Linked DNA regions of Xenopus tropicalis. The protein of the gene in region 1 purifies or fractionates together with the protein of each later gene. This does not show direct contact. Links are inferred from orthologs where the notes say so. Each region holds a gene or a part of one and is shown in the gene's direction. Other genes may lie near its edges.

The links.
Region 2: the proteins of naf1 (region 1) and nop10 purify together in Homo sapiens (co-immunoprecipitation; 6 studies listed by BioGRID and IntAct, with this or other methods). This does not show direct contact. The link is inferred for Xenopus tropicalis from reciprocal best matches to the Homo sapiens genes NAF1 and NOP10.
Region 3: the proteins of naf1 (region 1) and nhp2 purify together in Homo sapiens (affinity purification with western blotting; 3 studies listed by BioGRID and IntAct, with this or other methods). This does not show direct contact. The link is inferred for Xenopus tropicalis from reciprocal best matches to the Homo sapiens genes NAF1 and NHP2.

What each region holds. Positions count from the first base shown.
Region 1 is NC_030677.2:51,934,339-51,939,593, forward strand, and holds part of naf1 (H/ACA ribonucleoprotein complex non-core subunit NAF1), read left to right. Parts: intron 1-2,283; coding exon 2,284-2,444; intron 2,445-5,255. UniProt on the Homo sapiens protein: RNA-binding protein required for the maturation of box H/ACA snoRNPs complex and ribosome biogenesis.
Region 2 is NC_030677.2:142,941,452-142,947,223, forward strand, and holds nop10 (H/ACA ribonucleoprotein complex subunit 3), read left to right. Parts: upstream 1-2,009; 5' UTR 2,010-2,051; coding exon 2,052-2,105; intron 2,106-5,138; coding exon 5,139-5,279; 3' UTR 5,280-5,574; downstream 5,575-5,772. UniProt on the Homo sapiens protein: Required for ribosome biogenesis and telomere maintenance. Part of the H/ACA small nucleolar ribonucleoprotein (H/ACA snoRNP) complex, which catalyzes pseudouridylation of rRNA.
Region 3 is NC_030679.2:47,804,322-47,808,203, reverse strand, and holds the end of nhp2 (H/ACA ribonucleoprotein complex subunit 2-like protein), read left to right. Parts: intron 1-2,136; coding exon 2,137-2,262; 3' UTR 2,263-2,700; downstream 2,701-3,882. UniProt on the Homo sapiens protein: Required for ribosome biogenesis and telomere maintenance. Part of the H/ACA small nucleolar ribonucleoprotein (H/ACA snoRNP) complex, which catalyzes pseudouridylation of rRNA.

The sequences.
Region 1 (5,255 bases):
TCATCTACTGCGCATGCGCCAGCCCAGGGATTCCAAAGACAGAACAAAAAAGGAAGAGGAAACACTCGCTGCTGGTACCCCGGGCTGGTGCAGTTTTCTCCTAACAGGGGCACCAGCCCAGGGTAAAAGGTAAGCAATTAAAGTCACTGGGGGGGGGGGGTGCCTAACATTTTGGCACCCCCAAGTGACTTAGCCTTTCCTTCTGCTTTAAACCACCTAATTTGGGTATTGGCACTGCTTTCCTGCTCTGCAACTACTAGTAACTTTATTTCTAGAATAATCGTTGTACTTGTCACCTATCTGGGTCTAAAAGCAACAAAATATTGTGGTGTTCTTCTCACACCAGCAATTGGCAAAAGTGCAGGGATTAGTAGTTGGGAATACAGTAAACATCCCATGGTATTATGCTAAAAAGGAATCCATCCCTGGAAACATGCAGTTTATATTTTTCCCATACGCTTTCAGATCTATTTTTATTGCAGCAGTAACATCTACTGTGATAATCTGTAGTTTAATCTTTTATTAATAGCACATAATTAATGTAGCGTCATCTCCTATGTAGTATAAACAGGGCTTTACATGCCAAGGCTCATTTATCAGGAAAAAGGGGGAGAATTTTAATCTTAAATCATTAAAAATGTTCTTAACAGTATATTTTTCAAAGAAATATTTATATTGTGGCATAAAATTTAGTGCAGAAATACAGCCTACTTTTAGACTGTTGATTGCTGTTGAAAAGCATTTTTATAAATCCGAGAAGTGGCTTTGAAACTGAGAGTAGTATTTGCATAAAAAGCCAAGAGTTAATATGGCCTATGATTCTTCATAGTTTTACTAAGCAAGTGTAATTATGCAGCAAAGTCCTCTGATGTGTAAAATATAGCATAAGTATCATGAAAGCAGTTTTATATTTAAAATAAATAAAGGGAGCATAATATAACTGCTTTCTGAGCAGCTAGAAATATAGAACAGAAATATTCGAGGGCAGTGACATAGAACAATAGAACCGAGTTTGAGTAGCAGGACAGGATGATTAATAGAGTTGAATGCTTCAGAGGATGTTTTGTGGGTTTTTTTTTTTTTTTTTTTTTTTGCAAAGTTTGGCCAAAATGGGAAGACTTTGCAAAAGAAATGCTTTCACAAATACAGTAGTTTAGCAAATGAATCAATTAAATTGTATAAAGTTCAAGTAGTTGATTAGATGACCTACCCTCTGGAAAACAGGGTTATCAACCACCTTCTCCATTACAAAAATGCGCAGATGAGATTGCCCAGTCCCACTTTTGTGCCAACAGAATTCAGCCAATCAAGGCACCCACCCAGTCACTTTGCCATTCTCCATAGAAAGCTTTCAAGCATTCAAACTCTACTTATTGGTGGGATTGCACCTACCTTGCAAGAAAACATGGCAACATCAGTATAGAAACAGATTTGTGACATTTTGTACGTTGAACTTTTCCCATGGTTGAATATCTATAGGAAAATTGCAAAATAATTGTATCTTCCTTTTCAGGTTTCAACACAACCTGACCACAGGGACCCCCATGGGCAAAAACCTGTAGTCAGGAAACTGTTTCATGCTAACCCTACTGTCATCATATAATTTTATTGTAGCATATAACTGGATTCTGCATCTGCCCAAATGGTGCACAGATTTAGGTTGCTACTATATAATAGAAGGGCCAATGAATGCTCACTATATTAGTGCAAAGTCTCATGTTATCGTTTGTGTCATTATTGATAGATTTTTTTTTTTTTTTCTTCCAAACATTACTATATCTACAGAAGTTAAATGCTGGTTAAATCTAAGCGAAAGTATATGTAGCAATTTTCATGTGTACACTTCTTCTGTTTTCTCGAGGTTATAGTTTTCCGACAAATACTATTTTAGGTAGTGCTACTTGGCTTATATTGACAGATAACTACTAATAATGTTGTTCTTTCCATGCTGCAGCATCATTTTTAATTATGTTGTATGAACATTCTACTGTACAAACCGCTCACAATAAGGATGTAAAAATATACTTCTGCTCTTATCAAACCACATATTAACAAATGGTACACTTGAGCTTGAAGCCCAGGTCACATTAACTATTCTTGGTAATGTATGTTCTCTTAATCTCCTAAAACACTGCCAGATGGCTGGCTTCAAACCTTTGTTTAGTAAATGATATGATTTATGTTTGCGTCTAATACATTTTCTAATTATTTTGCTTAACAGTGGTTCGTTAAGCCGCTGTGCTGTTCTGCTAAATGCCTTTTATTTCTCACTTTTCTCCACAGATATTTGAAATATTTGGACCAGTTCCACATCCATTTTATGTGATTCGCTTTAATGAAAAAGGCCAAATTGAAAACAGGGGTATCAAGATAAAAGACACAATGTTTTTTGCACCCACGGTTAAAGACTTTACTCAGTATATAATACCGGATAAGTTACAAATGTAAGTAATCTAAAAGATGCAAGCAGTTTTGGATAAGTACTACCATCTACACCACACTGCATTGTGCCATCTGGAAACTTTGGCTACTTGTCCTGCGTTCTGGATTGTATTGGGATTCTTAAGTCTTACCTGTTGACCACTGGCAGAGCATTACCAGTACTAGTACATATGTTAGCTGGATTGATATATTAAAGACTTGCTCTTTCAGGTATCAGTACATTGAGTGTTACATCACACTTTACACAGTGCTGTGAAAAGCCACTTTTCTTAGAAATATCAGTTATTTGGTTGTGTTTATAATTACAGGAATAGAATCTAAGGAATACTTGGGACCTGTGGTTTTCTGGAGAAGGGTTGTCTCTGTAATTTGGAGTGCCGTTTCTTAAAGGACATGTAAAGCCTACATTTGCCTACAATGTATATCAGTTGGGCACGTCTCCCCCACCCAAATGGCATTATTTGTACTGCATATGTCCCCTCCGCTTGCCAGCACCATCCCATTTTCCTAAAGCAAATAGCAGCTTTCACCCGTGGCCATTTTTCCTCTGATACATATTTGGATACATTTAAATCTGCAAACAGCATACACACACACAGACCCTTATTCAGCATACATTTCATCAAGAATAGAGGCTCACACAGGCAGAACTGTCTTTGATAAAACTTCTGCTTTGTTTGAGCTGAGCTCAGGAGGGTTGGTTGGGAGAAAAAAATTGAAGCAGACGCTAGAGCTGAGTTTCTATGGGAACCAGCAATGCCATCTCTTTATTCGCTGCTAGACTGGGGGGCATGTTTAGTAATCTGAGCTTAGAACAACTGAACATGCCCACAAGCCAACAGCCAAAGCAAATTCCTGAGGGAGGGGGCTGAGTGGGTTACAGGAGGAGAAGCAAATCTAAGTGATTAAGGAGATGTTGCAGCCTTACTATTAACCTCTGGACAACCAGAGGCAGATATTGAAAGATTTCAAAGAGGCTGTTCACTGATTACATTTTTGTGTGTGGGGTTTACATGTCCTTTAAGTCTACTAAAACAATATCAGAAGAAACTGTTTTGCTATCAACATCAATATATGTTGGCTCGGTTATCATCCAGTAAAAGTTACTCCCATATTACAGAGTAACACAAAATCAGTTAGAAATAAGAATTGTTTGCTTAAATAGGGCTCTCTGGAAAATGTCACAGTGCCCTCTTTTTGTGTCCTACACACTGTTGGTGAACTCGCTGCTGTGTTACAGTCAGCACACAGTTTTTCTTTTAAGAGTCCAATTTTCATGTTTTACTGAAAATTCCACTCTTTAATGTGCCTAATCTTAAAGCGCCCCCGGGGTTATTCTAACGCAGTGGGTCATGTGTCAAGGTGACACATTTGTGAACACACAAGTATAGACAAAAATACCCACAAATATCCACAAACATTATTACCACTGCTGAGGAAAACAATGACATATATACAGTAACAATCACAAGCACACAGACAAAACCAACAGAGAGACAGTTCTACACAATTATTGTCTCTAACATGCTGTGTTACATAGAGTTGTGCACACACAGTGCTCATATTTAAAAACAAGCAAAACATATGTAACCTGCTTGTACTTGTCAGCCCTTTGTGTTAGATTCATATATATATATTAGAAATTAAGGGATTTTATTGCCTTAAAGGGATAGTAACACATTCCAGGTTTTAACAGGAATGTGCTATGATTACTCTAGACCCAGATATCAAAAGCTACAGTTACCCCCCGTCTACCTCCAGCCTTCTGCTTAGGGCTGTGATCCCCCATGCACATTGTCATTCAGGAAGCTAATCCTTGTAGGAGGCTGACACAGTGTGCTGGGGGTAGGCAGGGGGCATCTGTACTAGGAGAGGTTAGTAATATCTTCGTTTATAGGGGAATAATGACACATTCCTGTTAAAATTGTCACTATCTCTAAATTCAGCTACACTAGATACATATTGTAACTTTGTTTATGCCCTAAGCATTTTCTTTGATTTACTAAAGCATCATTTTGACCTTGGAAGATATCATAAAAATGGTTAACACTTTTCACATAGTATGCATATCTGATCATCTCCCAGCCCCCTACTTACCAAAATAAGGATGTTTATGCTAGTTTTATCAACAATAGTGCCTTTAACCAACTTACCAAAAGTTGAATGTAGAAGCTTATAAATTGTTACATAATTTCTCTTTCCTGGCACTATGTGAGTATATACTATACAGATTCTTTTTTTTTTTTTAATATATAAGTTGCAGCTCACAACATCACATGAAATCATGGCACGACCACTTAGTTCGGCTAGATCAAATTTGCATGACAGCCATGTGGGTCAGACGTCAGAAAAAGCAGCCAGCAGTATAAACAAAGCATTGATGTCCTACTATGCATAATCATATGCTATTAACAGAAGGGTATGACCTCCTATAGATCTGGGAGGTATTTCCTTTTTAGCCTTTAGCCAGATAGAATATTTCTAACTGCAGTCCTTACATGAAGCAATCATCGACATTGAGAAATACATTTGCTCTTCTGCAAATGAAGCAGAAATTATAGCTTTCATTGCAACATGCACAATATTATTGCAGAGGTGCTTTTTGTGTCCTCTTCATAATTCTTTATATCATTTTTAACTGGTATAATAGTAAAAAAGTCACGTTTAAGACTGACACACACCCTTTCAGCTATTGTGAATGTCAAGCTTCAGTCAGCCTTCGGCTGTGTTAGTCATCCAGCAAATTATCCTTTCCTTGAAATGATTTGCAGCATTTAATGAAGATCCCAGTATTAGTACAGGTGCAGTAATCT
Region 2 (5,772 bases), about 91 Mb from region 1:
TGAGGCATGCGCAGTAGTAGAGTTAAAAAGCTGGCTTTTTCACATTGTACACCCATGTAAAGAAAGAAGCAGAAAGAGGCTTGCTCCATGGTGCTCACCGGAAGAACACCGGGCCGGTGCAGTTTTCTGCGGATAGAAGCTCAGGCATGGGGTATCTGGCAAGGGAATATAATCAATGGTGGTGCCTAACTCTTGCCCCCCACAGTGACGGTTGATATTCTTAAGTGACTAAAATACATTTTCAAGATGGTTTAAAGTTCTCTGAAACTATACCCCCTGTGTCAAATCAGTTCTTAGCAATACCACCCCTTGTGCAATCTGTGCTGATTTTCCCAAAGATGCTCTGATTCTTCAGTGATGCCATACTGGATTCAAAGAGCAAGAAAGTCATATACAGTGGATATAAAAAGTCTACACACCTCTGGTAAAATGTCAGGTTCCTGTGCTGTACAAAAATGACACAAAGATAAATCATTTCAGAACTTTTTCCACCTTTAATGTGACCTATAAACTGTACCACTCAATTGAAAAACAAACTGTAATCTTTTAGGTGAAGGGAAGAAAACCAAAAAAACTAAAATAATGTGGTTGCATAAGTGTGCACACCCTCTTCTAACTGGGGATGTAGCTGTGTTCAGAATTAAGCAATCACATTCAAAATCATGTTAAATAGTCAGCATACACCTGCCATCATTTAAAGTGCCTCCGATTAACCCCAAATAAAGTTCAGCTGCTCTACTTGGTCTTTCCTGACATTTTTTTAGTCGCATCCCACAGCAAAAGCCATGGTCCCCAGAGAGCTTCCAAAGCATCAGAGGGATCTCATTGTTAAAAGATATCAGTAAAGACAGTCATCATCAAGTGGAGAAAATTTGGCACAGCAGTGACATTACCAAGAACTGGACGTCCCTCCAAAATTGATGAAAAGACGAGAAGAAAACTGGTCAGGGAGGCTACCAAGAGGCACTTACTGGCACCCCAGAAACTTTTTTCATGCTTGTGTTGCTCCCCAACACTTTTTCCATTTGAATGTGGCTCACGGGTATAAGAGGTTGGGTATTCCCTTTCCCCAACTATACTTTCTAACTCCAACCTCTTACTGGAGTGGCTCTTCTCCCGATATGCCCACCTACGGGTGGCCGATATTGGGCCAAACCAATTAAAATGGCGGGTATAGAAGCTGTCAGTTCGGGGGCCACATCAACCAGCCAATGTGGTCTCTGATCAATGGAAAACCCAAACCTGCCCAATCGAGATCAGAAGACGGTCGGGGAGGCCCGACATTCGTGCCCATACACAGGCAGATGAGCTGCCAAATCCTGATATCATGAGCTAAAATCAGCCCGTGCATGGCCACCTTTAGACTCTTTCTAAAAGATACACCATGTAACTACTACTCTTTTTAGACCATTTTAACTCCATCCCCACCAACCTACTAGTAAACACCACCTCAAACCTCCCCTGCCTGCATGTTCTAACACTGTCAGATCCCGTCTCTATGCTAACTCCTTCTAAGCATCCCCTCCTTCCTGCTGCAATCCCTTTACACCCATTCCAACACGCTGGTAGGTCATAATCTTTTTTGATATTTTTATTCTTTGCAGAAGTGTCTCGCATCATAGGTACGTGTTCTAACCGCTAAACTCACAAGTGAGCTGATTGGTCAGCGCCCTCAAGCTGCCTCAGGAACGACTGAGAATGATACCCAGATTTACTGACTAGTTAGAACAAAGGCCAGACAACACAAATAAGGATTTGGGGCGCATGAATAACAAAACAAAACAAAAACAAGTAGGCTGTTACTGCCCGTAGTTACATAACAAACGGAGAATTTCGCTCTCGAAAATAAGGCGAAATATCAACACGAGAGCGGGATAGGGGGTGTGGAGAAGGAACTACTGAAGTGACGAACTTTACCGGAACAGGAAGTAGTTGTGCGGAAGTAGTATCGTCACCCTGTTGAGAAAAACGTGGGGCGCTTGGTGAGTGTGGAACCTGCGTGTGTTTCTGTTCGCTGTAGATTTGCGCGTGTCGCTGCCTGACGCTAGAGGATGTTTCTGCAGTTTTATCTAAACGAGCAGGGGGAGCGTGTATACACAATGAAGGTGAGCAATGGAACTATAAACCAGCATGTGATGGGCTGATATTTTCCTTTGACCTATACTATTCCTTAGTACCTGGAGGGTCGCACAAATGGGCAGTGCAACATGTTTTAATGCCTATAGAGAAAGTTAAGCGTTTAGTTCCAATTAAATTGAAAGAAAATTGTTTGCTTAAGTCCATCTGGTGGCCACGATTAAAGCATTTTATATAGGGATTATAGGAAAAGTATAGTGTAAAAATAAAACTGGGTAAATAGGTAGGCTGTGCGAAATAAAAAATATTTCTAATATAGTAAGGCAAAAATCTAATATATAAAGGCTGGAGTGAGTGGATGTCTTAAGACATAAATGTCAAACCCAAGGCCCGGGGGCCAAATCCGGCCCACCTGGCTGTTTTATGTGGCCCTTGGTGAGGGTGTCTGACCATCCAGCCTGATCAATTTCCATTTTCCTCACATAGTAACTAAGACTAAGGGGTATATTTATCATGCTGTGTGGAGTGAAGTATTAGGGCTCTAGCACACGAGGAGATTTGTCGCCTGCGTTTTTTCCCCCCTGGCGCTTTGGCGACAAGTCGCCACGACAATACACAAAGAGATTTCATGAGAGTTGAGCTCCAGGCGATCTGCTACCCATGGTACACTCAACAGTTACCCCTCTCATGTTTACTCAAGTCGCTCAGAAAAGGGTCTGTACGATTTGAAACAGCAGGCGATTTGAAGTAGCCTCGTATGTTTTGACGCTGGCGATTTCCATTTGTTTAGCATTGGCGTCTTGTCTTTCATCTTGTCGCCAAATCGCTCTTTTAAAAATCGCCGGTGACAAATCTCCTCGTGTGCCAGAGCCCTTAACAGTAATGTTGCCCAAGGCATCCAATCAGTAATCAGATTTCAACAGTAGCAAAGCATCTATTGGCTGCTATGAGCAACATCACTGGTAATGTCTTACTCCACTTTTTACACATTGTGATAAATATTCCCCTTAGTATCTTACTAAGTATATTAATAAAAAATTTGGCATGCGACTTAACCTGTTTTTTAGATTTCGGCCCCCTTATGTGATTGAGTTTGACACCCCTGTCTTAAGATAATAGCCAGAACACTACTTTCTGCTCTCTAAGCTGTTAGCCATCAATAACCAATCAGTGACTTGAGGGGTGACTTGTCCGATATGGGACATAACTGTTCAGTTAGTTTGTGAGCATGCAGGTCAGATTCATAAGCAAACTAACTGAACAGTTATGTCCCAGATCCAACCCCCCTCAAGTCACTGACTGGTAACAGCTTAAGGTCCCCATACACTATAAGACATCGCCAAGCGAGCAGATTTTCACCTGATATCCCCACCTACGGGTGGGCGATATCGGGTAGCAAGTAGCTTTAAAGAAAAATAATCGATCGTTTGGCCCTGGGGCCAAATGATCGGATTACATTTGCAGCCATGGGGCAGTCGGTTTGGGGACTGCATCAACGAGCCGATGCGGTCCCCGATCCGACTGGATTTTATAACTTGGCCGATCGATATCTGGCCAATTTCAGGCCAGATATCGGTCGGGCAGGCCGCTCGTTTCTGCCCCTACACGGGCCGATTAGCTGCCGAATCGGTCCAAGGGACCCATATCGGCAGCTTCTATCGGCTCGTGTATGGGGGCCTTTAGAGAGCTGTAAAGGAGGAAGTTATGTTAAACATCTGTTTACTCCAGCCTTTATAGATTACATTTTTGGCTAACTAACCATATTGAAAATGTTTTATTTTGCACAGCCTGTCTATTTAACCACTTTTATTTTTACACTGAACTGTTCCTTTAAAGGCTATGTCCAACTTTGTGTTAACATTTATTTAAGCCCCTATTGCCAAAAAAATATTTTGCCAATAGGAATTTAACAAATTGTTTCCTTTAAAATTTTCAATGAAGTCAGGGCTTATGTGATGTTGAGTCCTGCACTGTCTCACTGGAGGAGGGTTTGCCGGCCCCTACGTCCACTACTTTTTACAGAGGTTGGCAGCGCATAACAGGAAGAAGCAGGAGCAGCTCCAGTACTGTGCATGCCTTGTTTCCTCCTTGTATTGCATAAATTGTATTGCCAGCCAGTCTGATTCATATAGGGCTAATGAGTGAAGATATGCGCTGCGTTAAACCTTCACAAGGGGAATCTGAAACCAACACAGAACCTGATTGCAAGTGGTAACTTTGTTAAAAAGTGTAGCGGAAATTTTTTTTATGAAGAAATATTTATTGTCAGAATATTTATTTTGGTAACGGGCTTGTGTGAATCCCCAGTTATGAAGTTATGTTCAGTCTGTTTTCACATTGCAGCTTAGAATCCTGCATATAAGGTTATTGCACATGTGCAATCACTCAGACCTCTTTCCAACAGCCTGCTTGTGTTGTGATCAATGGTCAAATAATCGAATCAGACCAATATCACCCACCTCAAGGTGGGATTCTTTACATGTATGGCCAGCTTAAGTGAAGAAATAGTCATAGTACACATCATGATCAAGATCGTTGACCACCTTATATGTACTATAAATCTGCCCTTAACTTAGTGTTCCATTGTTGTTCTTATCGTGCAAGTTGCAAGTAAACAAGCTATGCAACATAGAAGGAAAGGGACTTTTAAATGTGAATCTGATGGACTTAAAAACATTACGCAATAAGACTCCTGACTATGGAACCAAAGCTACAGCTTTGGTCCATCTTTCCCATCAGATTCATTGAATCACATTGATTGGATAATGAATGCTTATAGAGACCAGTGATTCATTTCCTTGCTCTTTTGGTCTGACTATCTGATGAATGTTTAGTGTGCTTGAAGTTCAAATCCTGCACATGTACATAGCAAACATAGCAATACGTTTCTGTATGCAGACTGAAAACTGTCATGGGACAAATGGGCGTTCATGTTTATCCAGATAACATACTTAGCCCACCTGTCAAAAAGTAGGGCCATTTTAATTATTAGAAGAAGTGATGGATCTAGTTTAGAATTTACTAAGAGGAGAACGTGTTTGTGTTTTTCTTCCAATTTCCAGAAGGTTTCTCCTGATGGTCAACCAACCACTTCAGCCCACCCTGCACGCTTTTCTCCTGATGATAAGTTTTCTCGACACCGTGTCAGTCTAAAGAAAAGATTTGGACTTCTACTGACCCAGCAACCCAGACCTGTGCTATGAGACAAGTAAAGATGACTTACGCTTCCTTGTATTGAATATGTCTGCCAACTGTCCTTTATGCATTGGCCAGCAAATTACAGCATTGTGTTGGAAGAATTCATTCACCTTCTTCATCCTAATTCTGTGTGAAGGCATGCTTCAGAAACTACATGTAAATTAAATTCCAAAAGGACTTATCCCTATGTGGTACAACCATTCATTTCGGTTTTTTTTATTACCTTTTGAGTTTTCATTCCTAATCAGATGGGATTTTCTGGTCCTAGTTGTGTGATAATAAAAACAAGTTTTCAGTTTGCTTTTACCTTTCCTTTCATTGTTCTGCCTGAAGCTGTTTGAATTAATTCAATCGCTGATTGGTTGCTGTGTGTTATTATTCAGGTGCAAATTTGCCCTGGTTTTGGTAAATGAGATACACAGACTTCAATACATTTTAAATAGCACTGATCATTAGGAATAACCTACTTGGCCTAATAGCTCTAGTAACATACATTTT
Region 3 (3,882 bases), on another chromosome or scaffold:
AAAAATGTGCTGAAAAAGTCATCCTCGGCTTATACTCGAGTATATGGTTTTGTAATTCGTTGTGCACGCACGCCCACTGTGCGTACGCTCGCAAATCCCGCCCCCCCCCCGTACCTCCCTCTCCGGCCGCTGCAGGCAGAGGGGGCTGTGAGCTCCAGCAACCGGCTAGCTCACTCAGTGCCCCGGAAGAGACTGCGGCGCTGTGCGGGTCGCCCTGTGTAACTTGATCACTTCTAGCTCCGCCCACTCCACATGTAATAAGGATTTGCTTGTGAAGATATGAAGTACAGGAGACCCCCTACAAGTTGCTAGAACATGGTGTTATTATTTTAATTAAAAAAACGAATTTTTAGAAAGCACTAAGGGGTCTTATAGCTGTTTCAAAAAAAAAAAAAAAAATGGGGGATACCAGGTTTCCAGATAAAAAATCATATACAGAAGCATAACCATGGCAGGGTAGAGGGAGAGTCCTGGGAGCAGACATGCCAATAATTCATATATAATTTGATATGATAGATTTGTCATATCAAATTATATATATATATCGGGGACACACCTGACTATGTGGCTACAGTGAGGGTATAACTGCCCTTGGGAAGTGTTATCTTGCTCCTGGCTCGGCTCATGTTCCCCTCCTGCCTACATATTAATGGCCTCCTGGGATGTGTAGTTCCACAGAAGCTACTGCCATTCTGGCTGAGCACTCTCACAAATAGAAGCTTTGCTGTCAGTTGTGCTGGGAGACATGCTGCATTGCGATGGGAGCACACACAGCAGGATGGCAAGTACTTGATACTTAGTATGGCAGCTTCCTTAGCCTTCCCAAACTTGCCTGACTGTTAAAAAAAAAAAAAAAAAAAAAACTTAGCAGTAGCTGCTGCATTTCCCACCCTAGGCTTATACTCGAGTCAATAAGTTTTTCCAGGTTTCTTAGGTAAAATTAGGTACCTCGGCTTATATTCGGATTGGCTTATACTCGAGTATATACAGTAAATAATCTTTTAGTACACTTAAGGTATGGAGATCCAAATTACGGAAAGATCCCTTATCCAAGAACCCCCAGGTCCTGAGCATTCTGTATAATGGGTCCCATACCTGTACTATTGGAGAAAAATAGGGATTCTTCACAAATCTATCCTAATGGGCCTTTAAACTACTGGTGTCTTCTAACATCTTATATTTACCAGATCTAGTCACTGCAAAATGAGTGTGATTTCTTTACTTTAGTCCTTTGTCATACAACTAATACTTATAGACAGATCTTCTAAAAACAAAATTGCAAAAACAAATTCTCCTATACAAAGTCCTACTCAATTGTGCATAATACTCTTCTTGGTTAGAAACTTCTAGCAAACATTTACTGTGTAAGGGAATGGCACATAAACCATTGTAGGTGTTTTGCCACCTGAGTGATTTATTGAGAATCTCAGTCAAATATTCCTGGAACCAGTCATTGTGTATAACAAGAGGCAGCACTACATAGAATGCTAATGTTAAGCATTACACATATCTGCAGACATAGAAACACTGGTGACAATGTCCTTTGGCTTCCATTAATTTTAGTGGGAAGTGAAAGTGTCTGTTTTCCAGTGAAAAACTGCTCACAAACGTAACATTTTTGGATGGAAAGTGCTACCACGCTTCTGATCTGCTGCTATTATAGTCAATGGGTGCTTTGGTAGGCAGTTTAGGAAGGGTTGGGTTTGCTTTTGCCAGAAAAATGCTGGCATTTCACATTAGCATATGAAATTAAGTAAAGTACAGATTTTAAATAGACAAGGTTTTTAGTTAAAGACACAATACATTAGAATGTAACAAAAATGATTGTGAGATGCTCCAAGGTTTGATCCTGTATTTTGTAATGTTCTATTCTATAACAAGCTTAAATTGGCTTATTTTTATTTTTCCATATACATCTGATATTTAGTGTTTAGTCAGTGAGAAGCCATGCCCTGCCAGTTGTCACTTTAAAGACATCTCTCCAATGTAGCCTAAATATCCAGTTTTTCAAATTTCTTGTTATTTTAAGGCCTTCAACTATTTCTGAATTCTAACACATGATTAGTTAATTCTTGGCCATCTATCCTAGTATAGTATTGATATTTGTGTAAGGTGATACATTTGCGCTTGTTTCAGGACCTAGGAGCAGCTGCTGGCTCCAAGCGCCCGACCTGTGTGATACTGATCAAACCACATGAGGATTACCAGGAAGCATATGATGAATGTCTAGAGGATGTACAAGCCCTTCCGTTACCCTACTGATCTGGACAACTTTAGAGGATACTTTTCCATTAACCATTCTGGCATACTGTGAGGAAAATGGTACCAGACATTTCTTCGTACACACTTTGCATGCAGCTCTAAAGACAAACTGTGAGGACATTAAAGTGTTTGCTGTAATGTGTCAGCTAACCCTTCTGTCTAGGGCTGAGCCAGTTAGGAAATTACAGTTCATTTACTGATTAACAGAGCCTGTTAACACCATTTTTTTAAAGAAATGTTTTTTGGAGATGGATCCTAATTTTGGAAGGGGAGCTTCTTTGTAACAGATACTGACACTTGCTGGAGTACAGATCTAAATTTATGTCCCCCTGCCTGGTATCCCAAGATATCCATAGCACAGTGATATGGGTCAAAGAAGGTTAATTTTCAATTTGAATATAGACATATTACGAAATAAATGACCAATATTTTTTGTTATATATGGATTATTTTCCTGCCTATTCTCTCTTTAAGATAACTGCTCATTCTGGGAGCGGTCAAGGTGAACAATTAGTGTTTTAGGGTAAGAAAATAAAGCATGTTGGGTTTTTTTTGGTGGGTTTTTTTTATTATTCAGGACACATTTCCATTAGGGCCCTTTATTTGGCTGATGGGTCATGCTGTCACGTCATGTGGGTGGCTAAGAAAACATGCAGCAAATATCCCCTAGTAGCCATTTAGCGGGGTTAACAGGAATTGGCCCCTACAGCTGTTTGACTTCAATCAAAATCTTGTTAAAGTGCAATTAAATGATGTTTAGGCAGATTTAAAAAGCCCATGTTGTTCTGAAAAAAAGAATGATATAAAATTTTTCTAGGTAACTAAACTTTGCCCTGGTAATGTCATGAAATATCTAGCAAATAAAATGCTAAATTCTACACAAGGAAAATTATTTTGAGCACATCTGGACTGTGTTTCAAAAGAGGCCCTGGCATTTCAATAAATAATGATTTGTATATGGCATCTTACAGCAGCTGCCAGAACCCACAGATTGCCAATCGGGGACTGCTTTGGAGTCATAGGCTATCAAACAATGTTAAGACACACCTCTTGGTGCTGGAGCTAAGGCATGCATGTCTTTTGGATGAATAAAAGCCATAAATGGAAAAAAAATGGCATTTTACAATGCAATCTTCATTAGGCCTTTATTAAAGGAGAATGAGAGGTGTAATCTCTCTGGGGTGCCAAAATTCTAGGCACCCCATCAGTGATTATGATCACCTACCTGAGATATGGGTGGACTTAAAACTGCACTTGCCTGAAGTACTAATCTAGGAGCACCACATTGCAGTCTTTTTCTTGTTCTTGGCTCTGAGTGAGCATGTGTAGTAGAGCAAAAAGCCGACACAGGGTACAGCAACCACAAGGGGATCACTGTGAGACAGAAGATGATGACATAGCGCTCCTAGCATCATGCCCTGGGCCAGTGCAGTTTTCATTACACAGGAGCACTGGCCCTGAGTTGTTGATTATAATCACTGGGGGTGTCTAACAAATTGCCATCCCCTGGTGATTATCCCCTTTCTTTTTTAATTACTAATTGTAATAGCACATTTTTAAAAACCTGTTTGTACATGTTTACATGCCCATTGGTGAAAACAAAAAAAAAATTAAGTTTTT